Nothobranchius furzeri: one gene and its partners. The protein of the gene in region 3 purifies or fractionates together with the protein of the main gene of each other region. This does not show direct contact. Links are inferred from orthologs where the notes say so. Each region holds a gene or a part of one and is shown on either strand. Other genes may lie near its edges.

Evidence for each region. The genes of interacting proteins can lie anywhere in the genome.
Region 1: the proteins of stk3 (region 3) and map1b purify together in Homo sapiens (affinity purification with mass spectrometry; 4 studies listed by BioGRID and IntAct, with this or other methods). This does not show direct contact. The link is inferred for Nothobranchius furzeri from reciprocal best matches to the Homo sapiens genes STK3 and MAP1B.
Region 2: the proteins of stk3 (region 3) and vapal purify together in Homo sapiens (affinity purification with mass spectrometry; 4 studies listed by BioGRID and IntAct, counting the BioPlex papers as one, with this or other methods). This does not show direct contact. The link is inferred for Nothobranchius furzeri from reciprocal best matches to the Homo sapiens genes STK3 and VAPA.
Region 4: the proteins of stk3 (region 3) and rassf6 purify together in Homo sapiens (affinity purification with mass spectrometry; 4 studies listed by BioGRID and IntAct, counting the BioPlex papers as one, with this or other methods). This does not show direct contact. The link is inferred for Nothobranchius furzeri from reciprocal best matches to the Homo sapiens genes STK3 and RASSF6.

Annotation. Positions count from the first base shown.
Region 1 is NC_091746.1:61,699,787-61,707,324, reverse strand, and holds the start of map1b (microtubule-associated protein 1B), read right to left. Parts: upstream 3,844-7,538; 5' UTR 3,695-3,843; coding exon 3,511-3,694; intron 2,315-3,510; coding exon 2,213-2,314; intron 1-2,212. UniProt on the Homo sapiens protein: Facilitates tyrosination of alpha-tubulin in neuronal microtubules. Phosphorylated MAP1B is required for proper microtubule dynamics and plays a role in the cytoskeletal changes that accompany neuronal differentiation and neurite extension.
Region 2 is NC_091751.1:42,857,916-42,865,348, reverse strand, and holds the start of vapal (VAMP (vesicle-associated membrane protein)-associated protein A, like), read right to left. Parts: upstream 3,844-7,433; 5' UTR 3,748-3,843; coding exon 3,690-3,747; intron 1-3,689. Other genes in the region: rab31 (ras-related protein Rab-31), read right to left, coding at 7,097-7,194. UniProt on the Homo sapiens protein: Endoplasmic reticulum (ER)-anchored protein that mediates the formation of contact sites between the ER and endosomes via interaction with FFAT motif-containing proteins such as STARD3 or WDR44.
Region 3 is NC_091759.1:1,437,431-1,444,920, forward strand, and holds the start of stk3 (serine/threonine-protein kinase 3), read right to left. Parts: upstream 4,425-7,490; 5' UTR 4,274-4,424; coding exon 4,251-4,273; intron 3,560-4,250; coding exon 3,479-3,559; intron 3,390-3,478; coding exon 3,261-3,389; intron 3,164-3,260; coding exon 3,049-3,163; intron 2,960-3,048; coding exon 2,795-2,959; intron 2,701-2,794; coding exon 2,533-2,700; intron 2,453-2,532; coding exon 2,315-2,452; intron 2,232-2,314; coding exon 2,106-2,231; intron 2,031-2,105; coding exon 1,832-2,030; intron 104-1,831; coding exon 1-103. Other genes in the region: polr2k (DNA-directed RNA polymerases I, II, and III subunit RPABC4), read left to right, coding at 5,151-5,211, 5,467-5,559, 5,661-5,683. UniProt on the Homo sapiens protein: Stress-activated, pro-apoptotic kinase which, following caspase-cleavage, enters the nucleus and induces chromatin condensation followed by internucleosomal DNA fragmentation.
Region 4 is NC_091746.1:44,754,749-44,762,450, forward strand, and holds the start of rassf6 (ras association domain-containing protein 6), read right to left. Parts: upstream 3,844-7,702; 5' UTR 3,709-3,843; intron 2,066-3,708; 5' UTR 2,065-2,065; coding exon 2,021-2,064; intron 402-2,020; exon of another isoform or gene 271-401; intron 1-270.

The DNA of each region.
Region 1 (7,538 bases), on a different chromosome or scaffold from region 3:
AGCCAAAAGAGAGACTGGCACTTTTTAAGTCCATTAAAATGATGAAAGCTTGTGCAACCAACTCTCACTCCCAGAGCAGTAGTCAGATAAACTATCCAAGTGAAAAAAAAATAAAAAATAAACTTACACAAACAATGCATTTAATCTATGGACTAATTTTTGTAACATTAACAAAAATCATTCAAAAAATTAGAATAAAGGTTTTGCCTGCTGCTCAACACCTTTCACCCGCAGGTTTTAAACAAAACATCTAAAGTTTCAAAAGGACCAAAATGACAAACCAATAGTGCTGATTAGCCATCTAAAAGCTGCAAATCTGCCAACAAGCTAGCCTTTAAATGCTAACACGGTCACAGAACACACCCCTCCTGTTGGGTATCATCCCTAGGTCATGTCTGCTGGAACGGGAAACCCACCTTGCCAGAACAAACGAGAAAGTGCTAAACACCATTTGCCGTTTCTTAAGTCCAAACTATTTACAAATCTGATCGTTTGTCCTAAATTTGAAGTGGTAGCAGCCGGCTGTTGCTCCTTCTCTGATATAATTGAGCGGAGAACCGCTCACACCAGTGGCGTTCTGTTGCTAACTACGCGAGAGCGTAATGAGTGGAGGAGGGAAAGGCGGTTGTCCAGTTAGACAACAACCGGATGATCCAATAATTGGTTTCGAACCAAGCCGTGTTATTGGCTGAGCTTGCTTAATTTATTTTTTGTTTAATTCTTTTAATCTTCACAATATATTTATAGCTATACAATGTTAGAACGTTGCTGAGAGGCAGATGAAAATCCAACAAAGACTTTTTGAAAGATTTATATTTGTCCAGTGGTTCATAAGATGTTTTGGTAAGGAACACACACCCTGACAGGCAAATAGACTGCCCACCTTTCTGAGGTGTACAACCAAAACCTCAAATAAGTAGAAGAAATGAGTCAAACTACTGACCAAACAAATGTTAAAGGGATACTAAGCAGTTGTGGCTTGCTTTTAGCACCCCCTAGTGTCTGTTTAGAATAACCAAACGCAAACCTTATCTCCTCGCTGTGCGTTCGTCTTTTTAATACCTCAATCTAAAAGCTGAAACAACTCCTCAGTCTTCCTTAGTGTCTACAGGAGTGATTCATCACTAAATCAAACAAATCAGCTGTGTTAATGATCTAAAACATGCAGGAAACGTGCTGGAAGCAGACTGCAGCTTTGGCATGCCAGCACCACTTATACTTTGTCCAACAGGCACTGGACGGGCTCTCTGAAGTTGCAAGTGCAATATTCTGGCCACAGAGGGCAGTGGGGCTCTGAATGATATTTCATTAACCCTGTAGGGTCATTTTAGCACATACTGGCTTAAGAAAACAATTTAAAACATGAAAAAGTTTCATAAAATGCCTTTAAAGGAAATTAGGAACTTAAATCCTCGAGGCAAATCTAGAACACAAGTCACACGACTGCAACAGACAGTGTCAGTATGCCTCAGGGCAGCTGTGGCTACAGCGTAGCTCATCACCACCAGCATGTGAATGAGTGAATGACTGATTGTGTTGTAAAACACCTTGGGGGTTCCAGGACTCTTGAAGGCGCTATATCAAATACAGGCCATTTACCATCTGACAACAAATGTACCCTAACAGCGCAAAAAAAGAAAAAAAATGCTCCCACGCCCTCAGACGGCTGATATTTACCGTTGATTTTATATATCTTATCTTATATATGTATGTAGCGGTTTTTAAGTCAGGCACAGCCGTGGGCAGTCTGGTGCTGAAGCAGTACATACATTTATGTTCCTGAAAAAAACTAAAAGTCTGCTTAATAAATGCTCAAAACAATATTGTTAACTGACTTTTTATTCACTTGTTTTGTTTATTTAATGCGTGGTCAGTTCATTGATTTGTTTAATGAACTTTGGTTAAAAGTTGGATTTTAATGCAGAGCACATAATTAAGATTCAACAGCTGGTTATTCAGAGACCAAAAACTGATCGGGCAGAAATGTTGTGCATCAGCAGTTATTAGTGACATTTTAGCAGGTGAAAAAGACAGAAAAATGTCAAAATGTCAGTCATGAAAGGTGACGCAAAAAAAGCAGCACCTGTCAGCTGGTATCGGTGATAAAACCCCACATCAGTTGATCTCAAAGTCAGAGTTTCAATTGTTTCCCTCCCCTGTAAATCTGTCCCCAATTGAAATGATCAGAGCGGCCATCTTGTACTCCCATTACCTTTGACGTCTGCAGAGAAACGCGCCGAGTGTCTGGAGACAAACAACTTCAGCTCCTGGTCCAGGTTGCAGTCAATGAGGTTGGTGTCCCATGAGCGGATCCCTGCAACACACACACACACACACACACACACACACACACACACACACACACACACACACACACACACACACACACACACACACACACACAATTTGTCCTCTGGTTCTGGTTCATTGGAAGACCTTAGAATAAACATGTCTAGACTTGTTACTGATTTGATGTAAGCAAAAGGAAAATCTATACTAGGAAATATCTATATCGCTGCTTGAGCCTGACGGTCATCATTTTCCTGAGTCATCATACACCCTCTCCACATTTATGCAGTTTAAATGCTTAGTGGTGGCCCAATGAGACACAAAAAATATATTTTTTTCTAAGGAGGAACGTGCGTACTTTTGTCCAGTACACTGCACCCAAAACAGATTGCAATCATTTCGTTCATAAATATAAAGCAAAAAGTCCAAAGATTCAAAGATCAAAAGATTAGTTTGAATTTGTTTTATAAGCTAACATTCAAGAAAATTATATATGTTAAATATTAGTTTATAAACCCGTAACCTTCATTCAGTTTTTGTGCTAAATTGACTCTCCTTTACATCCACACAGCTACTGCGCCACAATCTTCTCGCTGCTTTCTAACAAAGTGCTTTCTGGCCTGCAGGCAGCAGCAGCAGCTCTGAACGCCCTGCTCAGCCTGAAGATAGGTCCTCGCGGGTTTCCGTAGGGACCGCAGTGCGGACAGGGCCACGCCCACAAGCCGGTGAGGGATGAGAGAGCTGGATGCGGGAGGATGGTGTGGATGATCAGGGAATTGATTTTAAAACAGATCCGTCAAAGCGGATGAGAAATTTTAATCTGAAATGAGAACACAAAGCGCACACGCACATCCCCCTCGCTGTCTCCTCCAGACTTTATAACAAAAGCCTGACGCGCCTGAATCTGTCTGTAATGGATCATCACAGAAAACGCGCAGAAATGCGCCAACAATGGCACCAAACAGGTGCAGAATCACCCCTTCACACGTGAGGATGACAAGAGAAAACAAGAAGATGCAGTAAGTAAACTGAGAATAACCCATCGATAATCTGTGCGTAATTGCGCCGTGCGTAAAAGCGAACAGGTGTGACCCTAATTTTAAAAGCCATAAAGATTCACTTTACGGCTTTAAGACCTAACTACTCCCCCCCCCCACCCCCACCCCCCACACACACCACCACCACCCACCCCAAATAAATACATAAATAAAGCTCCACCACCTTTCTCTATGTCTGCAATGGCACACTTGAGGTGATCCTCTGTTACGATCTCCCCGATCACCACCAGCAGGTAGAATTTGCTGTCGTTGAAGTGCTGAGGGGGGCTGGAGGAGGTGGGAGACGTCCCGGTGTGGCTGTGGATGCCTAAAGTCTCCATGTCTGCAGATTCCACTAGCGTGGCCATGCCGAGTCTGTCTGTCTCCTCTTCCTCGCTCAGACGCGTTTTAGGTTCCCAACAGCAGCAGAACTCTGCCTCCTCCCCTCCAAGAGTCCAGACATGCGAGTGGAGCGGTGATAGGAGTAGCCCTAGCGTTTTATACCGGCAGACATTGTGTCATGCTCGGTTACCAGGGAGAGACCAGGGCGCACACACTCATTCAACAGCTGATGTCATCGGCGACGCCTCCGGAAGTCAGAGGAGGGATGCTTTTAGGCTGCACTCCCATCACTTTTCCCTCACATCAACATTTTAACAAAGAAACAAAACTTGAAATTATTATTTTGGGTTAAATTGGAACAAGTTTTGAACAAAAGTTAACGTGTTTTAAAAACCTAACTGAGCAAGGGAGGACTGAAACACGTTCAGAAACTGCATTGTGAGAAATATAGTTTATGACACCGTTTTATGTGTCCTTTGAGTTTTATAATCACATTACCAACGAAATACAAAAGGTGAGCCATAATGTTTTTGCATGTGTGTTTGGTTTTTCTGTCGGACTAGAAATCTCATGAACCACTTTATGAAACACACAGGAAGAAACGACTCAATGCACCTTCTGGATCTAATCAAATTCAAGATGGCCACCATAGTTACTCAATATCATACCACATAAAATGGCAATACATTTGCAGATAATAAGCTACAATGTAGTGCCACAGTAGCTAAAGCTGTCATTAACATGTTTTTTTTTTCCAACACATTCGCAGTGGTCCATCCATTGCTTGTCCAGACAAGGTCACAGGGGGCTGGTGCCTATCTCCAACAGTCTTTGGGCAAGCAGGAGGGGCACACCCTGGACAGGCCAGTCCATGGCAGGGCAACACAGAAACACACAGAACAAACAAACAAACAAGCACACACACACACACACACACACACACACACACACACACACACACACACAAAAGGGCTATTTAGAGGAACCAATCAACCTGACAGTCATGTTTTTGGACTGTGGGAGAAAGCTGGAGTACATGAAGAGAACCCACGCTTGCACAGGGAGAACATGCAAACTCCATACAGAAAGATCCCAAATTGGGATTTGAACACAGGACCTTCTTGCTGCAAGGCAACAGCAGTAGTCTCTAGTATAAATGAATGACTTGTTAGTTGTTTTCTGTGGAGAAATGTACTGTGCTCCTTTAGCCGGAGTAGGAGGGATCAGAAAGAGGCAGGATTTGGAATCTTAGTCATTCATTTGATATTCAAACATCTCACCTCTGGTTGGCTAACAGCAACGCCAGGCTTCCACCAACTCTGTTAAATCTGCAACGTTTATTTCCAAATATGACACAAGCCTGAAGGAGTTAAGCCATGTTGTTGAGCTGCTAATGCTAATGGTTAGCTTCTACCAGCTCACACGTGCTCTGCTCTCTCCTGGACACTAAAACAACATCAGCCTTACGGGTTATAGCGTGTACCCCCTACCCACCAACACCAAGTTGATCCCCATGTCAATCAATCAATCAATCAATCAATCAATCAATCAATCAATCAATCAATCAATCAATCAGAGTAAAATGTAGCAATGACAATAAAACAGAAAACTGACGTCTCTTTTTATAGAATCCTTCATTTACACCTGATTTCACGTCCCTGTTCCAATAATCTGTTGTTAAATATTCCAACAGGAAGCTCTGAGGGACTCTTTGGTCACAGGAAGTCTTCACAAAACAAAAGAGCTGATCAGAGAGGAGGTTAAAGATGGTCAACTACAAACCAACAGGAAATGAAAAGGACTGAGATCACAAGCTTCCACTGCCGTGCATTAGCTGAGTGGAAGTGTGATTTCCTTTGATGTAAACATTAAAGTTCTTCTTCCCAGGAGGAGATTCTAGTGCTTCAGTGAAACAACACAGGTTTCACATCTGTTGAGATTCAACAAAACAGATGTGTGTAGCGATAAAGCGCAACACGCAGACCACCTGCTCTGGCTCTGACTGATGAAGGCACATCGGGAGAGTCCTGAGGTTTCTGGGCCTGTGGGTCCTCTGGGTTGTGGCATGGGTTTGGGATTTGTGGAGATGGGAGGATGAATTTTTGCCCGAGGCTCGTTGTTTCGTTTGTAGGTCCTGCTGGTTGTTCTCTTGTTAGGGGTTGAGCTTCTTCACAGCAGCAGTCAGGCTGAAGGTGGGAGTCACAGCAAAATATCCTAACACACCTTTTCATGAACTCATCAGCAGTTAAATGGTTGCAGGTATAAACACATAAAAACGTGCACACAAATCTTGAATCTGAGCCAGGATTTCCCCGTGGCGGTCCTTATTGATGTGACAGAGGATGGATGGGGGTCACCACTGGTGCGTTATTGACTCTCTGGGCTGCTGAATGTGAATATTTCAGGGCTCATGTGGCCTGGTGGGCAGGGTTTGGTCGCTTTCTCCCAAGGCCACGGGAGGCTGTATCAAACATTTATTATACACCACCGGAAAAGAAGAAGGCATTAAAAATACAACAAAGTGCCACCGGAGGTCTCAGATACAGACAAGGAGGAGACGGATGAGTGTGGAGGAGGGGGTTGGTGTTGTTTTTGGGGTGGGGGGTGCTTGATGGACACGACTGTGAGGGTTTTTTGCTTGCATGTGTGTTTTTGAATTAGGCTGTCGAAAGCTGAGCATCTAAGAATTTAAAAAATTTAAAAGAGCTCAACTGTTTACAGGTCGGATCCAGATCTCCTTTGGCTCTGAGCCTCAGTGCTTCTCTGATGTTCTGAGTTAAGCAGAAAAACACTGAAATTTATTAATAACAGTCATTTGATAAAAACACAAGTACCCGTAGGCTTTTTAGAATATTCAAGGTTATTTTTCAATGTTTCAAATTTCACATATCCGAGCTGTGATTTCAGATCCGCTTCTTGCAGAGAAACCCTAAAAGCTTCTGGTGTTACCGTTGTAATGTCCGGTAATGGTCAGTTTTTAAGTGCAGTTTGACCCTTCAATATCTGGTCGACATGGAGACACGAGTCTGCCTGTGCTTCCTTTAATCTGCCGGATCCTGCATCCCATCAGCTGGCTCAGAGCCTCTCTGCAGCTCTGAACACATGATAACGTATCGTCAACAGTCAAGTTCCCTCCTCAAGGCCCAAGCTTCCCTTATCGCTCTACAGGACTCTTCATGCCTATGAAAAAAGTGAACTCTCTCAGCTCAGATTAGTTGCTTAATCAAAGAATGAACTCTTAAATATAATGTGAACATTTAAAACTTATAGGTTAATTAATCATTAAAGAATAATTTGGTTGAGGAACAAATGTTATATGAACACTAAATGAAATGTTTTGATTAATCTGTGAAATGAATTTATATATGGATCAGTAATGTTTTTATATGACAAGGCCATCATCATCTACACTCACACAAGGCTCATCAAAGACAAAGTAAAGTTAAGTCAAACGCGTGACTCAGAGATATTTTCTTACCCACAAATCAGAACCTCTGTATCTGAAAGAAGGCATGTTTCTGTGATTCCTGGTAATGTCCCTTAACATGGCCCACTACGGTGAGTCAGTGTTCCAGTCGGAGAGTGTTCCAGCTCTACAGAGTTCTAAAGGAAGCTACGGAAGTGAAGTCTATTTAACTAAGAAGCAATCTTGACATGCCGCCAAGGTTGTTGCAACGCTGACACAGCAAACGGTTCCTGCAGAACAAAGCTGATTGTGTTCCGACTCCTTAAGAGTACCAGACGTGCGGTTCCATCCATCTGCCGTGACCCGAGGTCTGGACTGGAGAAGTCGGTGCTGCGGTCAATCTACTGGACCTGGGTGCCCAGAGGTCATCCGACCTCTCTGACCTTCGGATCCACGAAGAGGGT
Region 2 (7,433 bases), on a different chromosome or scaffold from region 3:
CACCTTCTTCCTCACTGGACGAGTGAATATCTTCATCAGAGGGTGAATGTTACTCTTCAGAATCTGAGTCAGCCATTATCAGACAAAGAGCTTCGTCAACAATGAACAGACCTGTCAGTATTGTAAGTTTCTCCTCTAATATATAATATTTGCCCTCTGTGTGCTCCGCTCATCTTTTCTCTGTTGGGAATCTCCAGACGGGGTGGGGGTGAAGGGGGTATTTCGGTTTTCGGCCATGTTTTCCTCATTTTCTGTTTCAGCCAAGAGTTTTCATTTCTGTGCATCCCTAAATTAAAATCTTCTATTCAGCATTGTGTATTTGCTTCAGCAAAAGTGTTTTCAGACAGGTGGAAAGCTTTCTAACAAGCCTTTCACTTGCACCCCCCCCCCCCCACACACACACACACACACCACCCCTCCAATAGATACACCATCTGATATCTATGCAAGGCTTTGCTCAAAAAACATTTAAGTCTTTCATGGCACTGTTAAAGCTCTCATTCACTTGCTTTTTCAACAAATCTACAGTGTTCTCTGGTATAAATGAATACCTTGTGAGATTATTCTGTGGAGAAAAACTCCTGTTTTAAATGTAGTGGTTAGTTGGAGGAGTGGGGAGGGTGCAAAATGACAGGAATATGAGTCTTACTCATGACACGTAAATCTCGCGCTTCTTTCTTGAGTAAATAAAAGCAACGTAGATGTGTTATCTCTGCAAATCACAAGCCTGAATGTGTTCCACCTTATTGTGTAATAGCTAATGGTTCGTTTCTACTAGCCGAGACATTTGCTGTTCTCTCCTGGCGGCCAAAATGAATATAGCCTTCGCCCGCCGCTGCAAATCAAAGTAGGTGGGGCCATGAATTAGAGCTGGACAATAATTCCCTTTTTCATTATAATCTATCAGGTAGCAGCATACTAGACTCACTACTTACTCCTAACCAATCAAAACCACAGACTCAGGCACGCTACGTCACCAGGCCCTCCCCTTCTCAAGCCAAATAGAGTAAGATGTCTCAGCGAGAGGTGGAGAAATAATTAAAAATACCAAAAATAAATTGGCCAGGGCCAGTAAAATATATTTTCTACAATTTTTTAAAATATTTTTCAATAATTATCTATATCGATCAATATAAAATTATTGTTATCGATATACTGTTTTTCTATATCATCCAGCCCTACCATGAATGCAAATTTTCCCTGCGACATACAGTGCGTTTACATGCATCCAGTAACCCTTTTAAAACCCGAATATTCACAATAACCCGGTTCCGCAGGTCCGTGTAAACACCGCCAGAAACCCGGATATGCTCATAACCGGGTTTTTAAAAACCCGGTTACTACACCTGGGGTAACCCTTTTCTAACCAGAATGTTTGGTCGTGTAAACGCATATCGGGATATCCACATCAAAGCGTGTGTTCTGCGCATGCTCTGTTCGCAAGGAATCTTGGTCTTTTGAGTAGCAAGACGTCTTGTATGCGCCAGAACACCGGAAGTAAACAAGTTGGGAGCAAAATGGCGAGTCGCGGCACAGCACCACACTTTCGGAGTGACGAGGAAACTAAAGCGCAAACAAACGCGGTCGCTATCTCTTCCGAACTGGGAAAAATGTTGTTGTTTTCACGGATACCGGAACGAGAAGAACCGGAAATGACGCATATTGCGTCTGGACGTAGTCCACACGTCCTGACGCTACCCCAACCTCCGCATTTACATCGGGTTATGCAAGTTAGGGGTAACTCTTTCTATTTGTGCTTGTAAACGGGTTATTCTGATCAACTCAGAAACCCGAATGCCGACCTTAACCCGATCATAACCCGGATATTGGCTGCATGTAAACGTAGTCATAGAAGAGCCTGGCTTTTTCTGACCTGAATGATTCTCCATTTGTTTCTTTTCTGCAGCTAATACAGGCAATGGGGCTTGGAGAAAATCTTTCACAGTCAGCCTACATGTGAAACTCAAGGAGTTAATGATCACATTTGAAAAACAAGTATTACAGTTTCCCAGTTAACGAGAACTTTAATACAGGTTTTTAACAACATCAAACCTCACCAGAAGTCACAGTCTATTCCATATCCGATCATATCATGAGCTGTGAAAAAGCAATCATCAAAATGTCACTTTATGTTGGTTGATTTTCTGTCTTTCACCTTCCTTTAGGAACAATGTTCTGAAAAACATGTTATGCGACAATAATAACAAGACACAGTCATGTGGATTAAACAAAGCATCAGATAAAACGCTTTGTTGTAATTAAGTCAATGAAGTTATTCAAATATAATCAATTTACAGCATATTTTTCTGACAATTTAGTTCTGAAAAGCTTCCTCGAGGAGTTGAGAAGCTTTATTTTACATTAACACAATCATTGACAAGTTTGCTAAGTGAATGTGACATAGTCCTGCTTTTTCACACCCTGTGATATCATCAGGGACAGAATTATTTTTATAACTGAACCCCATTCAGAGGCTATCTTTTGGCTCTGTTTTTAGAAATGGTGACCTTTGAATAAAATCCTGTCAAATCAACACATAATACTCACTCAGATGTTCTTTGGTTAGTAGTAATTGAAAAATCACAACAGGTTGTGACTGCATTCATTAGTAAACAAACAGGGGTGCAGTTTTAACTGTCTGAAAATGACTAAATTAAAGTATTAAACTTCATTTTTACATGCCTATTTATACTATGAAAAAGTATGATGGTGACAATGATGCCTGAGAGCGTAGAAAATGGGACAATTACAAAAAGCAGGAGAATTCTAGGTCAGGAGGATAAATGAGCACCGTAAATGATAAGGATAGAGAAGAAGTATTTAAAATTTACCAGGGATTATGGACTGCACAGAATTAGGCAGAGCAGTCTTCTGTCACCCTGTGAACTTGTTTGGAGCAACAGTTGGTTTAAAAGAAAGTCTTAAGTTTCCTTTAAATTGTTAATTATGTCACAGATTGTTTAAAGAGCAGGTAATGAACCAAGCTACACACCAACTTTAGCAGGTTAGATAACCTACAGCGAGCTGACACATCACTCTTTATCACTGCCAAGAAACAAAATCAGTGTTAGCCTGACTATAAACGTGTGCTTGCATCCATGTTTTTGTCCATAACATATGAAAAGTCTCCTAAGAGTCTATAGGTTTAATATAAACTGTTCAATAAGGACATTTCTACTAAAAGTACATAGTTACTTTCTCAGCTGAGTTTCTCATTCAGTTACTAACAGACCGTCATTAAAAAGCTTTTTCCTCAAGTCATTGAGCTGCCACAATGTTCATCAATGTCCACTTAATTAGCAATGAATTTAACGCTAAGTCTGCCAGAAAACAACTCTTTTTCTGCTGCCAACATTGGCGGCACTAGCATAGTAAAAACGTTACGCCTAAAGTGAATAAACCCGCAAACAAACCACAAAACATCTTGTTTTAATGCAATTTTAAAACCGCAGCTCAGAACCATAACGCTTCTTTACGAGCTGGCCGGGAGCGGTAGGCCGCCTAGACGTTCTCATCGCCGGATATCCACGTCACCACAGCTCGAGGCTCCAACGGCCTATCCTTTCCCTGGCTAACTTAAAATGGCGGTGAATGCTAACAGCCGGAGTGTGAAAAAAATCCATCCAGGTGGGTTAACAGTTCTGCTCAAACGAGCCTAACCATCCAAATAGACATTTTCGTTTCCCTACCTTTAAATTTGAGGTCGCAGGGAGGGTCTAAGATTAAAACCTGATCCGGCTTGGACATTTTAGCGAGTCAAACGCTGAGTGACTTCTGGTCCTGAAAGGCGCATCTGCGTACAAATACTTCACCGAATCACCGCGCGAGAGCTCAGCCCTCCGCGGCGCGCGCCGCGTCCTCGTGGCTCTCTAACAAATAAGATAATCCTGCACTAAAATCATTAAACACTGACATGTTTAGAGGGAAGAACATCTGATAAAACTGCACAACAGTCCTGATTTGACCCGCACAAAGGTGAACGCGAGGTTGCGGATGATTGTGATGTGGTGCAGTTTTGTGAAAGAGTAAAATAACAAGTCTAAATTCATTATTTTTGTTTCAGATTTTTCTATTTTGTGACAAATAAGCCAAAAACAGACATAACACAAACGAAAAGTCAACAGAATAGGGAAAAAATAAAAATATATTTTAACCAGTAAAACAGGGGTGTCCAATGTGTGTCCAGCAGGTCTCCGGGTGATTTTTGCCCTTTGTATTTTCAAAAAAAATAAAAATAAAAAACTTTTTTTACTGATAAAAGGCCTAACAACATTTCCAATAAATTAATTTTTTTGAAAACTGTTATTAAAGTTCTACTAAATTATTTTATTGCGATAATTATTTTTAAAGGAAGAGGCAGTTTTGACTTGCTTTAATCACCCCTTAGTGTCCGTTTAGTAGAACCAAAAGCAAAACTTATCTCCTCGCTGTGCGTTCGTCGTTTTAACACCATCTAAGAGCTGAAATGTCTCCCCAGCCTTCATTAGTGTCTACAGCAGTAATGCATCACTAAATCAAACATGTCAGCTGTGTTCATGATCTAATACATACAGGAAAAATGCTGGCAGCAGATTACAGCGCCAGGTATGTCAGCTCAGTTTTTTTTTCCAGGTCCAAATCTCTCTCTGCAGTCTAGTCCAAATGACCAAACTGCACTCTGAAGTTGCAACTGCAGTACACTGGCCTCAGAGAGTGGTGGGGGTCTGTGTGACATTTCATGAACCCTGTAAAGGGTCATTTTAACACATACTGGCTCATGAAAATTATTACAAATCATAAAGTTGCCTAGTATGCGTTTAAGACCAAGAAAATCTATTTATCAAATGTAATGTTTTTGTTTTACTAATGCAAACACAAGATCCCTTTACTGTCTGGACACTTTATTCCACTTGCACAAACATACAGTAGGTGGGCTGTCATTTCAACACAATAAAAATGTTTGTTTTATTGTATTTAGCATCTATCTTGTTTATTTTAGACCTCAGTTATACTCTCAGCATCCAGCGGGGGCAGCAAAGTAGGAATTTCATCGTTCAGCTGCTTACTGCACATATAACAATAAAGCTTTTAGCGTTAATGTCTCATAAATGCAACTTTTTTTAATTAAAGCTTTAATATTACATGTTTATTGTGTTGTTGAGCAGGTCAAAATATTTTTTGTAAAAGTAATTACTAAAAATATCCTAGATTTTTACTATTATCTTGGCTATTTTAGTTTCTGGTTTGGGCATCACTAGATTTTATTTCAAAATAAATCACTCTAGGACTTCTTAAAATAAAAATATGCATTTTTCAATTCAAAATGATAAACTATGATTTCCTCGACGCTTTAATATTGCTGATATATTTGAATTTGGCTACAATTTAATCCAAATGAGTTGAAATTTCCATTAATTTGTTATGTCACCTGATTATCGTAGTTTTAAAGATCTACGTGATAGTTAGAAAAGGGGTTTTATTTCATTAATAAAATTTGTACTGGCTGCTGATGCACCGTCATTTTATCTTTGGCATATTGCTTTATCAATTAGATAGGATTGTAATCTTTTTAGACATGCCTCTAATTTATGTCCTTCAAAAATAAAGGCATGATGAAAACTAGAAGAAAGAGTACGATTATAATTTTATTACAATGTCAGTGACTTCTACACAGAATACATGAGAACAAATACTTGCATACAAATGAGGTTAAATGGAAACTATAGGCACTTTTAAAGATATGGGTACCGTCAGACTGCACCAAAAGCTGATATTCACTTTTAGCCATGTCATACATTTTTAAGAAACAATAAAAAAGACACATGTGTGAATCTAAACAGCATTTTAACAAAGGAGCATGTCCATAAGTGTAACATTCAGCTTTTAGGTGACTTTCACGTATCGCTTTAGGGGAATAACTGTTAGACATCGGGGAAACACCGTAGTCACAAGTCTGACATTTACTCAGAATAAAATCTGATGAGTCTAGAAAACCACGAGCGAAAGGTCACTGCCAATCTCGCTTCCAGAGGTTTGTGTTGAACGTTTTCCAAGTGAAGAAACACAGTTTGGCTAATTAATGAATGGATTTTGGTGTAAACTGTCCACACTAACATCAGCATAGATGGGCGTTTATAAAGTATTTTACTATAAATAAGAGATTTCATTATTACATCCCACAAATTGATAAAAAAAATAAGTTGTTTGACTTTGCAGCACATTCAGATAGAAAAAAAGTGTTTAACATTTTTTTTAAAGTACATATTTTTTGTTTGTATACATGATCCAAAGTTTAGGGTCCTATTAACACAGAGTTCAGGTAGTACAAAAACTATCTCATCGAACTGGACTTATTTGCTGTAAATTACTGTCTGCTCTTTAAACAGTAAATACAAGCAAACTCCAAGTTTAGCTGCTGTTTGCTGTAGCCAATTCTCAAACAAACAGAAAACATGTTTATCAAACCATTATGTAAACAACTAACACTGGTCACGCCGTTGCAGCAGTTAGATGTCATGATGTGATTAAGATTTCAGCGTTTTAACAGTTTGTTCCGCAGCTAAACAACGGAAATAAACGAGTGCACGTGAAACGCACACCTAAGGTTTTTACATCTTACTTTAAAACATTCTGCGCCGACGATCCAAGGATCGTGGAAATGTTGAATATTAGTACTGAACTATGACTTTAAATGACAGAGCTCATCTCTGAATAGCTGGTGACTCCAGAGGCCTAAATGGAATTGCACAAACCTCCAAACCTGATTTATTAATCCAAACCACTAAAAATGCAGTGTTCACGCTAATAATTTGCCCTTTGTTTCACAAATGGAACAAAGCTGCATGTTTTATATTTTGGAGATGTTCTCAGATGGACAACTGCATGTAATTCAGTCAGAGCGCCACTGGAGGGAGACAGACTGAAGGTTTTAAGTCACAGGGAAACGTGCTTGCAGGAACTGTTGCTTTGACCTCCATGGCGCTGGAGCAGAGGTTGTTTCATCCTGTTTTTGACCTCAGACCATCCACGTGTTGTCACTCTGAAGACTCTGTGTGCATCGTGGACTATGTGCTCCGCCTGCGTGATGATGTAAGTTGACTATCCATAACTTCTGGTACTAACAGCACCTCCTGGCCGTGGAGGCAGGCTGCCGGGTGATTTTAAAGGAATCATTGCTTTCCACATCAGGATTTTCCAGAGGCGGAATCTGTTTACCTAAAATTGCAGAACAAATTGTTTAATTTGAGTGTTTTTTTTAATGACATAATATAAAACTTGCTAACATATGCACTGCTGCTTTTCCTGTGCAATTTAGTTTCTATACCTCAAAACTCAGCTGAAATCTTATGAGATCTACAAGCAACCAAAGGATGTAAAAACAACAGTCTGGAAAAAACAGCTTCCTAGACTGGCAGTGGACTTCAGATGTTGCAATAATCAGTTTAACTTGTTTC
Region 3 (7,490 bases):
TTGTGGTTGTAGTTCTCCTGCTGCTGGGCCGCCTTGTTGGAGTCCTTCTTGTCAAAATAATCCATGAAGGACGGGCGTATGGGCTGCTGGGACGTGGCGTGCCCTGAGGAGGGAGGAAGGCGTTTTAATGACATCTTACAGAATTGCAGATTTTTTTTTAATCCGAGGAGAAAAAACACATTTTGCTTCTACTTTTCTCTCAGCGTGGTCGTTTTACACAGAAATACAAAGGAACGCCACAGCAGAAACAACTATTTTAGCTGTGATATTATCTGATGACATTATGAAGATAAAATGGCCTTTTGGGAAAACTTATGAGCAAATATTTAGTCTTTTTATCATGGGGTTCTACAAAAACTTTGTTTTTACTATTGGAAACAGTTGGAGCTCAAAATGGCACAGGAGCAATAAGTGACCAATAACACCCCATAATAAAGCCCAACAATGGAAAGACTGGTTTGCCCCACCCACTCAACCAGGACATGAATTTTTCATCAGCTGTAGTTTAGGTTAGCGTTGGCAGCAGCTCGGGCTAGCGTTGGCAGCAGCTTGGGCTAGCTTTGGTGGCAACTCGGGCTAGCGTTGGCAGTAGCTCGGGCTAGCACTGGCAGTAGCTCGGGCTAGCACTGGCAGTAGCTCAGGCTAGCACTGGCAGTAGCTGGGGCTAGCGTTGGCAGCAGCTGGGGCTAGCGTTGGCAGCAGCTCGGGCTAGCGTTGGCAGCAGCTCGGGCTAGCTTTGGCAGCAGCTCGGGCTAGCGTCGGCAGCAGCTCGGGCTAGCGTCGGCAGCAGCTCGGGCTAGCGTCGGCAGTAGCTCGGGCTAGCGTCGGCAGTAGCTCGGGCTAGCGTCGGCAGTAGCTCGGGCTAGCGTCGGCAGTAGCTCGGGCTAGCGTCGGCAGTAGCTCGGGCTAGCGTCGGCAGCAGCTCAGGCTAGCATTGGCAGCAGCTCGGGCTAGCATTGGCAGTAGCTCAGGCTAGCATTGGCAGCTGCTTGGGCTAGCATTGGCAGTAGTTCAGGCTAGCATTGGCAGCAGCTTGGGCTAGCATTGGCAGTAGCTCAGGCTAGCATTGGCAGCAGCTTGGGCTAGCATTGGCAGTAGCTCAGGCTAGCATTGGCAGCAGCTTGGGCTAGCATTGGCAGTAGCTCAGGCCAACGTTGACAGTTGCTCAGGATAGTGTTAGCAGTATCTTGGAATAGCATTGGCTGTAGCTCGGGATAGTGTTGGCAGTAGTTTAGGGTGGTGCTAGTGTTAGCTCAAGTAGCATAGCTGTGGCTAACTTTGTTCTGTAGTTAACATGATCATGGCCAGTGTCTATATAATGCTGAACTTGAAGTTGGTTGGAACATGCCAATAGGGCTTGCGACCACACGTGATTAAGCATAGCATTCTGGAGACGGCACAGACCTTTAGGCTGCGAGTTGCCCACATTTCCAACCTGACTCCAAGTTGGAGCCCTGAACAAATTTGCAGACATGCATCTAAATTTTGCTGCTGCCAGCTTCCATCCTGCATGTCAAAAATTTGAGACTGTTGCAGATTGAGCTTGTGTTGAATTTTTTCCCCAAAGCTTTGGTTTGCCTCAGGGAAAACGGAAGGTCAGAGCAGACAAAGAGCTGCTTTATAGTGAAGTGGGAAAACAAAAAGGTTGACGTGAAAGAGCACGTTTGTAGCATCAGCAGTCACGAGGGCATGGTTTTAACACTTCTTCCTCTTTGGAAAGAAGCCAGTTTTTCCGACACCATCCATTTAAACCAAAGTTAAAAGCCAAGTTCACGCAGCAAAGTGAAAGAGATGTTTAAATTCCCCCTCATTCTCTCAAATATGTGCTCACGTCTCATGGATCTCTGGGCTTCCTCCTCGTTTTCATCATCACTATTAATGACCATGGTGCCCAGGTCCGACTCCAGCATGGTGCTGTGCTCAATCATGGTCTGTGCCCCGTCGCTCATGGTGCTGGTGGCTCGCATGGTCCCCGCGCCCTCGGTTCCAGACTTCACCATGGTGTGAGAGTCCACCTCCGTCTCGTCCTCCTATAGGAGACAAACCCCTGCAGTATAAACGTTTTACTGGAACTTTATTGGTTAATGCACGTGAACAAAACGTACAGAGTTGTCCTCTTCCTCCTCTAGCTCTCTCTGCTGCTCCTGCTGCCTCTTCGCCTTCATCTCCATGGCTTCAGTGATCAGATCTCTCAGGATCGTGACCGGCTTGGCCTGGCTGATGAACGGATGCTGCGTTTCCACAACAGGAAAAGGAAATTAAATCGCTCAGATTGGAAGCAGGATTGTACAGATGAAGACCTTCTTGCTCCAACCTGTAGTAACTGAGTTGCAGTTGCTCTCTGCTCTGGGTTTTTAACCAAACACTTCTTTACAAAGTCTGTGAAATCGTCTGACCAAAGCTCCGGCTTCCGAAACGTAGGAGGGGGGTTGGTGGGGATCATAAAGATGGCCTGTGGGAAATCAAAAGTGGGAAAGTGTCAAATGTTTTCTTTTAAAACCCTAAATTCATTAAAAACTAAAGAATACGCACCCTCATAGGATGGATGTCAGCGTAGGGAGGTTTACCCTCAGCCATTTCTATGGATGTGATACCCAGAGACCAGATGTCTGCAACACAGTTGTAGCCGATCTCCTGGATCACTTCTGGGGCCATCCAAAATGGCGTCCCAATCACAGTGTTCCTCTTTGCCATCGTGTCCTTCAGACATTAAACACATACCATCAAAATTCAGCCAGAGATCGACTGAAGCTGGCATCAGTGCATTGCTGCAAACATTTGGCGACAGTGTTACCGTAAGCTGTCCTGCAACGCCAAAGTCAGCCAGTTTGGCGTGCCCCTCGGTGTTGAGAAGGATGTTTCCCGCCTTGATGTCGCGGTGGATCTTTCTCATGAAGTGAAGATACTCGAGACCCTTCAGTGTTGACTTGAGGATGGTGGCAATCTCCTCTTCTGTCAGCTGACGTGGGAAAAAAAGGAAAATACAAAAGTAAATCAGCAATTTAACCTATTTTATGAGCCAAGCTGTAACTTTTTAGAAACGCGCACCGTTTTGTTTCTCAGCCTGATGATGTCAGAAACAGAGCCGGCTCCGCAGTACTCCATGACTATCCACAGATCTGTGTTTTTAAAGTAGCTGCCGTAGTATTTCACAACATACGGGCTAAGAGGAAGGCAAACAAACGTGGTTCTAAAAAACTGGTGCAAAGGCGACTTTGGACAGTCTCATTCATTAGAATTAAAGAAAGTTGGGGTGTCACCTGTCACACTGCTGCATGATGGAGATCTCCTTGATGATTTCCTGCAGGTCAGACTCCACAGGAACCTGCTTGATGGCCACCACCTGCCCTGACTCTTTATGAATGGCTTTAAATACACTGCCATAGGAGCTGATTACACAAAGAAATGCATCTTTTAAGTGAAACTACTAAATAAACTATGATTTACACAGTAATTAGATCAAGTTAAAACATCTCACCCTTCACCAAGTTTCTCTAAAACATCAAACACCTCCTCCGGCTGCTTGGTCAAGCTGTCCTCGCTCAGCTTTTTCAGCTTGCTGAAAAATTCAGCAAAAATATTGTGTATTTAACACAATGTCTCTTTAATAATGGAAGAAAGACACAATATTTCTTTATATATGCACATCAAAGTTTATTTTATAGAGTAAACATTACTTTCTGTAGGAGAACTTGAGTGTGTGTTTATAACTTAAGAGGAATGATGAAAATAATTGATGAAATCTAGATAAAAATACTGTTTAAAAAAATTTTGAGATATTTTTGGTCTTTGATCATAATCTGGATTTAATGCAACCTAGTATCAATGTACACAAATTAAACAGATAATAAACAATTTAATCCTACTGTCTTATAAAATTTAAATACATTTTAAATTTAATTAACTTAAAAGGTGCTAGCTTAAGCTAACCAGTAAATAGATCGGTCCAAAATAAAGTAAACAGTTACTTCGAATAAATTATGATTTTCCTTAATACACATTTAATTTATTATATATTTTTGAAGCGACAATGAAATCACCCCCAACGACGCGAAATCCAAAAACGTCTAAACAATTAAACAAACCATAATCTCAATGGAGGTTTTAACCGGTTTTGTGTTTTTACTTTCTGCTTGTTTATCTCTGTGGAAAGTTTGAGAGAACTGAATTCGCTTAGCATTAGCATCCTGAGCTACCGCCTACATTAGCCTGGTGGTAAAGCAGAGGTCTCAAAGCAAACGTTCACAAACCTTTTAGGCGCGGACGGCTCCATGGTACACCAACTCGGAAACAAAAGTCAAACAAAGTATGAAAAAGAGAGCGCGGGTTTGTCAGTGGTAGTCAAGACGTGGACATTGTCGGCAGATTCGTTGTTGTCACAAACTAGTGGAGGAGGGCCAGCTGGGGGGAGCTCTTCAAATGATGGACATTCTTGTGTTCGACGCTGCGACAGCGCCCCCTGTCGGGACGGAAGCGCACTTTACATTGTTTTATTTTACAAAAACACAATTACGAATCAGATTGACAATGTTTGGCTCGAGTCAAAAACAAAAACTCTAAATAAAGTCTAATTTATTCATAAGGTCCCAAAAGAATACTAAATTAAGCCAGAATTTGTAGCGTAACGGTAATTGAAAAATGAAACACCCGTGTTGTGGATTTGCTTTCAAGAGGATGTTGTGTCAAGACAGGAACATTTTTAGTATAAAATATACAAAAAAAAATTCTTTGCTTCCAATTTTTAAAATCAGTTCAGATGTGTTTCGAATAATTCACAATGCCTCAAAACCGCTGGGTGACAGTAAAGGCACGTAAAGCGTGTCGATCGTCCTGTAAAACCAAGAAGAAGAAATTTGACGCAAGCGCAGAAACCCAATCGTAAAAGCGGATGGTTTAGTGTGTGAAAACAGTAAACATTTCCCAAATTACGCAGTTAAACGGTGAGTCATTTCGCTTCCTTTCATCAGTAATTAACTAAATGCATGTACACGGTTTAATTTGTGCTCTGTGCGTATACAGTTTCACCAAATTCAGAGACGTTTATGCAGTTTTGAGCTAATGTCCGGAGCACCATGCTGTTTCTGTTAGCATGCTAACAAGAAGAAGGGTTGTTGATGAAATGTTTACATTTCTGTCTTTTATAGAACAAAATGGACACACAGAAAGATCTACAGCCGCCCAAGCAGCAACCAATGATCTACATTTGTGGAGGTTTGCTGATGAAGCAACTATCATTGCAATTCTTGATGGTTTTATTCACGAAATATAGAAAAGTCATCAGAAAAATACTAGTTATGACTAATTAAAACATATTTCTTATTAGTAAATATTCCATTTTAGCCTGACAGCATGTAAACGTCGATTGTTAATGTGTTTGCACAATTATACTGTTCTAAATTAATTTTGCAGCAGTTCTGAAATACATTTATATGTCTTTATAAATGTATATATTTTTTTTTTATGCAGAGTGTCACACTGAAAACGAAATAAAGGCCCGCGACCCGATCAGATGCAGAGAATGTGGCTACAGAATCATGTACAAGAAGAGAACAAAGAGATGTATCCTTTCTCTCTCTCTCTCGTGTGTGTGTGTGTGTGTGTGTGTGTGTGTGTGTGTGTGTGTGTGTGTGTGCTTATTTTCCTTGACTCATTGATTCCAGTGGTTGTTTTTGATGCACGATGAAGAGGAGTGGAGCTGCAGATTGATCTTTAGTTGTTGTTTTCTGTTTTTATTGAGTCTGACCTTGTAAATAAACATAAACTGGGGCTTCAGCTTTCATGTTGGTGTAGATTCTCGCTCATTCGGGTCGTGGCATTCCTAAATTGCACTTCTTGCTGAAACATCTTAGAGCAGCAAGATAAATTCAGCCTTTTTGGTTTTTGGCATCCGCGGTTTGTGTCAGGTGTTCCTTATGTTATTTTAGTAAATAATAATGATGCATAAAAGTTTTATTTTAGAAAAATCAGTTTGATTTGACTGTTTTCTTTTAAAATCCTTTGTGGCCAGCAACATTAACAGGATGAAAACTCTTCAGTTAGTTTAACACATCTGCTAAATAGATATGATCCACAGTCATTCCTGAAATAAAAATCAACCTTTAGGATTTAAATTCAAAGTTTTAACCACATTTCTCTAAGAAGGAAAATTCTCATCTGCTGGCCAACAATTCACAGATTCACCAATGTTTTTTGGTTTGTTTATCTGAGAGCACGTTGTCGTGTTTATTTTAAAATTTTCATAATCTTGTTAAATTATGGGGTCTCATTTCTAAGTGAGACTTGTTTTAATCAAACATGCAAGAGAAGAAATTAGTAACAAGAATATTTAGTTACGAAGAAGATTGTAAAAAAAGTGTCTAAATAAAATGTGGAAAGAAAATCAGTTTCTCAAAAACGTTTGACTCAAAAATATTTAAGTGAAGAAAAGGTTTTTGTTAGCTTTTACAAATTCAATTCAATTCAAGTTTATTTATGTAGCGCCAAATCACGACAAGAGTCGTCTCAAGGCACTTCACATAATAAACATACCAATCCAGGTCAGTTCATTAAGCCAATCAGAAATAATGTTTCCTATATAAGGAACCAAGCAAATTGCATCAAGTCACTGACTAGTGTCAGTGACTATACAGCAATCCTCATACTAAGCAAGCATAAAGCGACAGTGGGGAGGAAAACTCCCTTTTAACAGGAAGAAACCTCCAGAGAATCCTGGCTCAGTGTAAGCAGGCATCCTCCACGACTCACTGGGGATCGAGAAGACAGAGCAGACACACACACACACACACACACACACACGTGCGCACACATACTCACACACGCGCACACACAAAGACACACACACACACACACGTGCGCACGCATACTCACACACGCGCACACACAAAGACAAGTAATGTGTCTATAGTTATATTGTGATGTCTTAGTAAATATTCTATTTGGTGAAAGATAAACTTTATTGTGTTTGTTCTAGTGGATCTATAATTAAACGGATAAACTAGTATTAGCACATCGCACGTCAAGGAAAGCAAAAAGTTATTATCAGGAGAGGGATAATGTTTTAGTGGTTAGCAGCAGTGTGCTAGTCGATGGCCCCCTCCATGAGGCCACCACAGCTCAGCAGAACATTGTTGTAGCTTCTTCTGGGGAGAAAAACACTTACAGAGAAAATAAAGTTAACAGCTGAAATTGCAGAAAATAATGCAGTTAAAGAGCAGATTGTAGAAGAAAGTAGTCGAGTGTGAAAAGTGGTCAGTGTATCCTCCAGCAGTCTAAGCCAATAGCAGCATAACTACAGAGATAACTCTGGATAATCTATCCTATTTAGTTGGAGGCATGTTGGAGTCAGGGCAAGGGAGAGCCGTCTTTACCGACTGTACACTCCACCTCCCTCTACTCCCCCAATTGTCCAGATTTAGGCTAACATCAGATTTTAACCATAGGCCCTATCAAATAAAAATGTTTTAAGCCTATTCTTAAAAGTAGACAAAGTG
Region 4 (7,702 bases), on a different chromosome or scaffold from region 3:
CAGAGGAAAAGACAACAATTAAGGAGTAAACACCTCTTTTTAGTACACATAGCTACAAAAGGAAAGCAGGCATGGCTAGTCATGAAACAATGAAGCCAGAACACAAACACTGCAGCCTTGAGCAGATGAGTCCAAAGGCCATGCTGCTGCTCACGCTGCTAAATAAAGACTCTCCTGCATAACCGCAAACAAAGACGGCCACTGAAAATGGATTTATCACCAACACGGTGTTACTACTTCCAAACATAACCACGGAAATAAGAGTCTTACCAGCTCAAACGTGAAGATTTTCCTGTGAATTCAGCGTCTTTGTCTATTTCTTTCTTCTAAGCTTTAAATACCTTCATTCCTTCTGTGCTTCTGAAGTTTTTGTTATATTTATTCTTCTCTCTGCAGCCGTTGCTTCTCTCTTTCACTTTCTTTTTTTTCCCCTGCTCGTCTCCAAGAGATTTAATAACAGTACTCCACCCAGTAACCAGTGATGACAGCGTAGATTTGTTTACATTATGGTCAGAGTCGCTGAAAGCTGTGACTGGAAATCGCTGCTCTCTATTCTGTGTTCGACTGATCATTGGTATTTCTGAATTGTTGTGAATGTGGCAGCCGTCTGAAAACAAGCAGTCCACATGACTGACAGTTTCTTTCATCTTGTTTTGCCTCAGCCTGTTTGCTGGTTAAAAACATCTCAAATATTCAACAGTCATAATTATAAAACCTTCTCCACTCCCCTTTGACTGACGTTTCTTTTGTTTAATAGGATGAATAAAGAAGTGCAGAAAAGTGCAAAATACAGATTTCAGTGCAGCAATTCTTAGATAATGTAGAAAAAGCAACATGTTTTTTGAAAGAAAGCAACATTTTAGATCAATATTGCATCAATAAAATTATATACAGTGTGCTATATTGACATAAGCATGTTTAAGTCACCCTTTAAGGAACCAAATTTGCAAGTCAGTACATGGAAATTAAAGGTTTATTTGACATTTTACAATAAGAATCATTTTATTAATGTTACACAGTGCATTATTAAGCATTAATAAACAAAGGATCCTTTTGTTAAAGTTGCCATTATTGTTAATTAAGTGTCCAGCGGCAGTGTGTAGTTTCCTGGCACTAGGGAGCAGTCCATACATTTAAGGGTATAGTTTTACACCACATCACCGTGACTGTTGCTAGTTTAAAGAGACAATATGTAGTTTCTACCATTACTTTCTGCAAATATCCATCAAAATGTTGTTGAAAATTAATGAATTGGTGCCCAGTTGCAGAAAAAAATTGGCGGCTTTGTAACATATAACCATAAAAATCTGGTCTGGGCGACGCCATATTACTATACAAATGGTTACAAAACTTGCATCACTCAATGTTATTGTTTTACACATTCACCTGCTCACATGTTGCCAGTGGTGAAGGGGAGTCTGATGTTCTTGTTATTTTGCTAAAGTTTGCACTCCTCAGAGCTTTTTGACCCTAATGGGCATCTGTTGATAAGGTCTTACTCCAACACAAAAATACTGCTTTTAATGTAATTTCAAATTAAGTATTTTTTTTCCCTTTTAAAATCTGCAAAACATTTACCACTGTATTGTTTTACTTTTTAGTTATTTTTAAGTTTATTAAAATGTTTATTTTGCCCTACATATTAAGATTTAAAGACATTCCTCAAGATACAAACTCACAATATGAATAACTGCTGAGGCACCAAGTCATCTGTATATTTACATTATTTTAGTTGACATTAATCTATTTTTTATTTGTTATTCATCTCCTTTGGTAATCTGCCAAACAAAATACGACAGGCCAAACACAATGAGCACTGTGGGCTTTTTTAGGAACTAACAGTCAGATTTGAAAGAGAAGCTCAGATGAATTATTGAGAGCTGCATTCCATATCTGCAGCTGTTCAAACTGGTTGTTCTGTGGAACAACTTCCTGTAAGTGGATTCCTGAACAGACCTGTCCCGGTCATACAGACGGTCATACAGAAAATCATTAAAGACCCATCACACCCTCTTCATACTGTTTTCGAGTGGCTGCCCTCCAAACGCCGACTTCGATGCCCATGCTGTAAAACACAGAGGAGAAGTTCCTTTGTTCCCAGAGCTGTGCTTCTTCTTAATTCTCAGTGCAGATAGGGGGAGTGTGCATTACTTGTATGTGTGTGTGCATGTAGTTACGTGTGTGTGTGTGTGTGTGTGTGTGTGTGTGTGTGTGTGTGTGTGTGTGTGTGTGTGTGTGAGCCAAAGTTTTAATCATTGTTGGTCATTCACATGTGAGTTTATGACATGATTGTGTATATAGGTTTTTATGGGTTTTACAAATGTGTAATTTGGATGTGTTTTTAGAATTTAGAGATTTTAGTGCCGGCTGCTTCACAATGCTGTCTCGAATTGCCCCTCGGGGACTAATAAAGTTGTCTTGAGTCTTGAGTCTTGAGACTTGGATTGATGCACACCTAACATCGAGTTAATGTACTTAGCCTTTGTGCGTGTGTGTGTGTGTGTGTGTGTGTGTGTGTGTGTGTGTGTGTGTGTGTGTGTGTGCGTGTGCGCTTCAGATTTCCATATCATGCATGAGAAAAATGGCTACCTGAGTCATGACGTCAGAAAAGCCTTTTGATAAAGGAAACACCTTGAGCTCTAAATGTAGCCAATCAACATACTCACTGAGGTGTGTTCATTTTTAGAACACTGACTGAAAAGATCTCAAGCTCTTTTATGAAAAGCAAACAAAACCCCCACATTTTGGTTTGCCACTGGACCATTCATGCAAGAACATTTTTGTGTTTTGGTAGCAAATGCAAATTTAAACTGGTGACCAGCATGAGGAAATGGTACCAGGCCTGTTGTGGCTGCACTCGGCTCTTCCACATGCTGTTAGATTACAAGTAAATCTTGTCTCCTGGAACTTCAGCCATACAATCAAATAAATGACACCAAACAAGCAGAAAACATTGTTTGGCAGAGAATTTTTGGCATTATCGTTGTTGGTTAAAACCCACAAACTCAACTGTTCTGCTCAAACAATAAATACATTTTCTGGCTCCGTTCAAAAGGAATTAAACAGAATTAGATTCGCTGTCAAAAGTGTCAGTTAATTAGTAATTAGAAGTATTAATGCATTAATTATTACAATAAATAATTAACCAACCAAATACTTCAACTTTCTGCTAATTTAAACTGATTTTAGAAGTTATTTTAAAGCAAACATTTCAGAAAGCAGTTGTTGATGTTGCACTAACTGGTCCTATGGTGCTTTGTTGTTGCCTTTTAAAGATGATGTTCAAGTCTTTACGTGGATAATGACACACTCAACCAGTACGCACCCAGTCTCTGACTTTATGACCTTCCTTTTCCCTTCTTCATAGATTTGTCTTTCTGTTATACCCCGTCCTCATGGCACATTTACGATTTCTTGATTGCACATTCTGATCTGATTTTATTTGGGTCTACAGGTTTCAAACCTAGACACTTTGTCCGAGGGAACAAAATCACGATGGAACTCCAGCCATAATAAATGTCAATTGTGAGATAAACTTTTAAAATTACAAAATAAATGACACATTGACAATGAATTTGGCAAACATTTGTCAGTAGTTTAAGATGAAAATGTTTGATTCTTTTTTATAGAAAACAATAGGTGTACGTAGTGGTAGTAGCTCCAGCTAAAGCCTTCTAATTTGATTGTCAGAGGAACGCTTCTTCCTACCTGTGCAGTTCAGCCTTTAGATCTCCTATTAAATTGTTGCAGGTCCATTACATGTTTCGAGTCTTGTTTATGAATCTGAGTGACTGTGTTCAAAGGTCTGGTGTATAGTTCGTGTGGCGGGAGGTGAGCCTTTGCAGCAACACCGCAGCAGCTGGTTAATTATTGCAAAACACGTTGAGACAGCGTTTAGAGGGAGTGGCTGACTGACACCAGATATGACTTGCCTTCAGAATGTGTGTGTGTGTGTGTGTGTGTGTGTGTGTGTGTGTGTGTGTGTGTGTGTGTGTGTGTGTGTGTGTGTGTGTGTGTGTGTGTGTGTGTGTGTGTGTGTGTGTGTGAAGAAAGAAAGACATTATGAGCCACACATGACAGAAGCATGCTGGTGTGCATTCAGCTGCAAAATTAGAGGTAGAAAAAGGGCTCACATAGCCAACATAGAGCACTACATACCACAAAATGGATATTTATGTGGTGCAAATGTCTTTGTGTTTTTTTCACCGGGAACTTGGTTGATTTGATTTGATTGATTTGATTTTTATTGATTAGCATTCAAATATTCCAATGAATACAGAATAAAGATTACCACAAAGCAAGAAACACAAAACAAGGCTAATCAAAAGGTATTGGCTGAAGCATTTGCTTATTACGCCAACCCTTTTAAGAAAGATCTTTTTGCATGAAGCTCCTGGAGCTGCATGCTGAGAATAAAACAAAACAAAACAAACAAACAAACAAGCAAAACAAACAAACAAAACAAAAAATGTACACCTTAGATAAGTAACTACATCAAAGCAAAACAATCAAGAGGTTCAGTATTATTTTTGCTCTTTTCATTCTTGGTTTATATATTTTTCTAATATTCTATTTTTAAACATATTTTTAAACAAGGACAATGAACTACATCTTTTTAAATCACTGTCATAGCTATTCCACAGGTTGACTCATCTAACAGAAACACATCTCTGCTTTACAGTTGTCCTTATCTTATTTTTGTTAAAGAATTCTGTTCCCCTTAAGTCATATTGACTCTGTCTGACTTTGAACAGCTTCTGAGTACTGCAGCAAAGCAAGTTATTTTGTGCTTTATACATTATCTGTGCCATTTTATGAAGTCACAGAGAAAATGTCTATCTTTCACAGGTACACAACAACAGCTACACCTATTCACATTCTTAAAGATATTGGCCAAATTTTATTTGAATAGCATGTGTAAAAAGTATTACAGTCTCAGGTGTAAAAGGTTTTTGGATTTTCACAGCTGATTTTTTCATTATTTCATGATAATAATGCTATCGCTAATGCTAACAATCAGTATGTGCTAGGATCTACTTGTAACTAACTTTTTATACCTTTTTAAATCCAAATTTCTGGTACATTTGTTTGATTTCAATAAAGTATAAATGCCACGTTACAACACTCAATTAACTGCCTAGAGCATTAGCACTCTGCTATTTGCAGTGAGGACACACAAAAACATTATAAAACGGTTAAGCTGTCGTTTTGTGGCTGTTTCTAAGCAACCGTTTAATAAAACACTCCACAATCTCTTACCTGTTAGAAAGGGATTGCTGTAAACTCCAGCATTTTCCGTTTCAGCTCCTGTTTTAAGCCATTGATGACTGATCCACTTCTGCTGTCTTCTTTCAGTATGTCTTTTTTTTAATCGAGTCCTTTGTGGCGCCCTACATTTGGGACTTGAAAAAAATGTTTGTCTTTGTCCCGATTAGAGTGACTGTAATAACCATAGACCGCTTAGAAATTTGGCTTTTTAACACTGTGTCACCAAAGTAAATAGTGTTCTGCAGTGCCGGTGTTGTGCCATAAATCGACTCACTGCCAAAAAATGATTAGCTTAGTTTTGTCCAGTTCGGAAGTTGTTTTAAGTGTTGCTATTTGTCTTAAACGTTCACAATGAGGATATATTAATCCTTTTTGCAATATTTGCGATTGAAAGATGGTTTGTGGTAAGAACTGGCTTTCTTTATGTTACAGCCTTGATACTAAAAAATAAATAAACAATGTAAAATGGCGCCCTGTATTGAATGTAAACGTTGTATAAATGTAAATAAACAATTCTCCAGCGATTTGATTTTTTCCCCTTCCTTTCTTTAGTGGCTAATCATTTTTTGGCAGCGAGTCGATTTATGGCACAACACCTGTGGCTACTTCCTGACCCCCATCTGCATTTGGTGATGTAGATGCAATGTCATGTGAAACATAGCGATTGGCTACACTGTTAATAATTAAATAATAATAATTAACAGCAACAACAACAACAACAATAATAATAATAATAATAACAATAATAATGTATAAGTTGGATCACAAACCACTTTGAAGCAACAGGAATATGTATTTTGAAAGTCTTTGGGGCAAAATAAACGGCTTAAAAAAGTTGTGCCTGAATAACGGCAAGGGAACATTATTTGTATAGCACCTTACAACGGTATAAAACCGACCAAAGTGCTTCACAGATAAAAAATATACACAACATAAAAATGCATAAAAACTAAAGCTTAATAACTAACACTGATAAAACACTAAAAAGACTCTCATGCTGATTTAAAAGCCAAATCATGAAAATAGGTTTTCAAAAGAGATTTAAAACCAGACAGTGAAGAGGTCGACCTGATGCTCAGACGCAGAGAAATTTGAAAAATACTGTAAATCTAAAATGTTTTATGATAATCTAATTTAATTTACCAAGCATAGATAAACCTTGATCGTAAGTGTGGTTGTGATTCGGTCAGCAGGGGGAGGCAGGGGATAAGTGTTCAAAATCAAAACTAGATTTGGGTCAGAGGATTTGGACACAGATTTTCTGGTAGCCTTTTCTTCTGTGTTTTTACTTTTCATATTTATGAGAAAAGTCATTGATGTTTTCCTTCTCGTTGAATTAATCAAAGCCTTTTTGTTTAAAGAGACTGGTGAGTCATTATTCTGCAGACGTCTGAAAAAGATGGAGGTGTAGAATAGCTGTTATGTGTCTGAGAACAAAAACGCATCAACACAGAAACAAAGACTGAAAGAAACAAAAACCCTAAAACCAAAACCAAATGTATTGATATAGCACTTTTAAAAACAGCAATACAGCTGACCAAAGTGCTTCACAAAGGAGCATGAATTATCCGTAAAGATGACAAACAACAAAGAGTTGCAATGCAAAGATCCTAAGACAAAATACATGTAAAAAAGAGGAAAATCACCAAAACAATATGTAAAAGCAAGACTGTCAAATGAATATACAACAAAACAAAGAAAACCAACTTTATTTGACCTCCTCTGGTTGTTCAACATTCTGTTTGAATAAACTGACACAAATTATAGAATAAAGAAAGATAGTCATCACTTTTAAGGAAAAAGGAAAAAAAATACACACAACAGTTTTTGATTAACAAAAGGTGACATGTTGGTTTTAAAGAATGAGCATTGCTGTTGACTGCCGACAATAGTTGAGTCCTTTTAAAGCAGAACGAATAAGGGGCAAATACAGTGAAATGCCATTCCTTTCCTAAAATAAAACAGGATGTTCAGGCTGGCAGGCAACAGGTGGACATAAAGACTACCTCCTGGATTGTGTGTTTGTCACATTGTCATGCCATGAGCTACTGTGTGCATAGATGCTGGTCAACATTTAAAAAATACAGGCTGCTTTTACACCGCTGTGACATCTACCTGCATAAGGATGACAAATACGATGTTGCATTACCGATAACGTTAACCCTCTGGAGGCAGGCGTTGCAGATTTGCAACAGTTAAAACCTACCTACCTGTTTACTCCACATACGTATGTCATGAGCATTTTTTAACTCAGAAGTACCCCTGAAGGACTTGTTTGTCCTTTTATCAGAACTTATTTTGAGCCTGAGAGGGTTAAATCTGACTCATACTAACAGCTGAGTCCTGACCAGCTGCTGTTGCTGTTGTTGACCGCCGTGCATGCAGATGGCTCTTTAGACCTGGAGCCTGTGGAGCTTAGAGCAGAGCTGCAAAA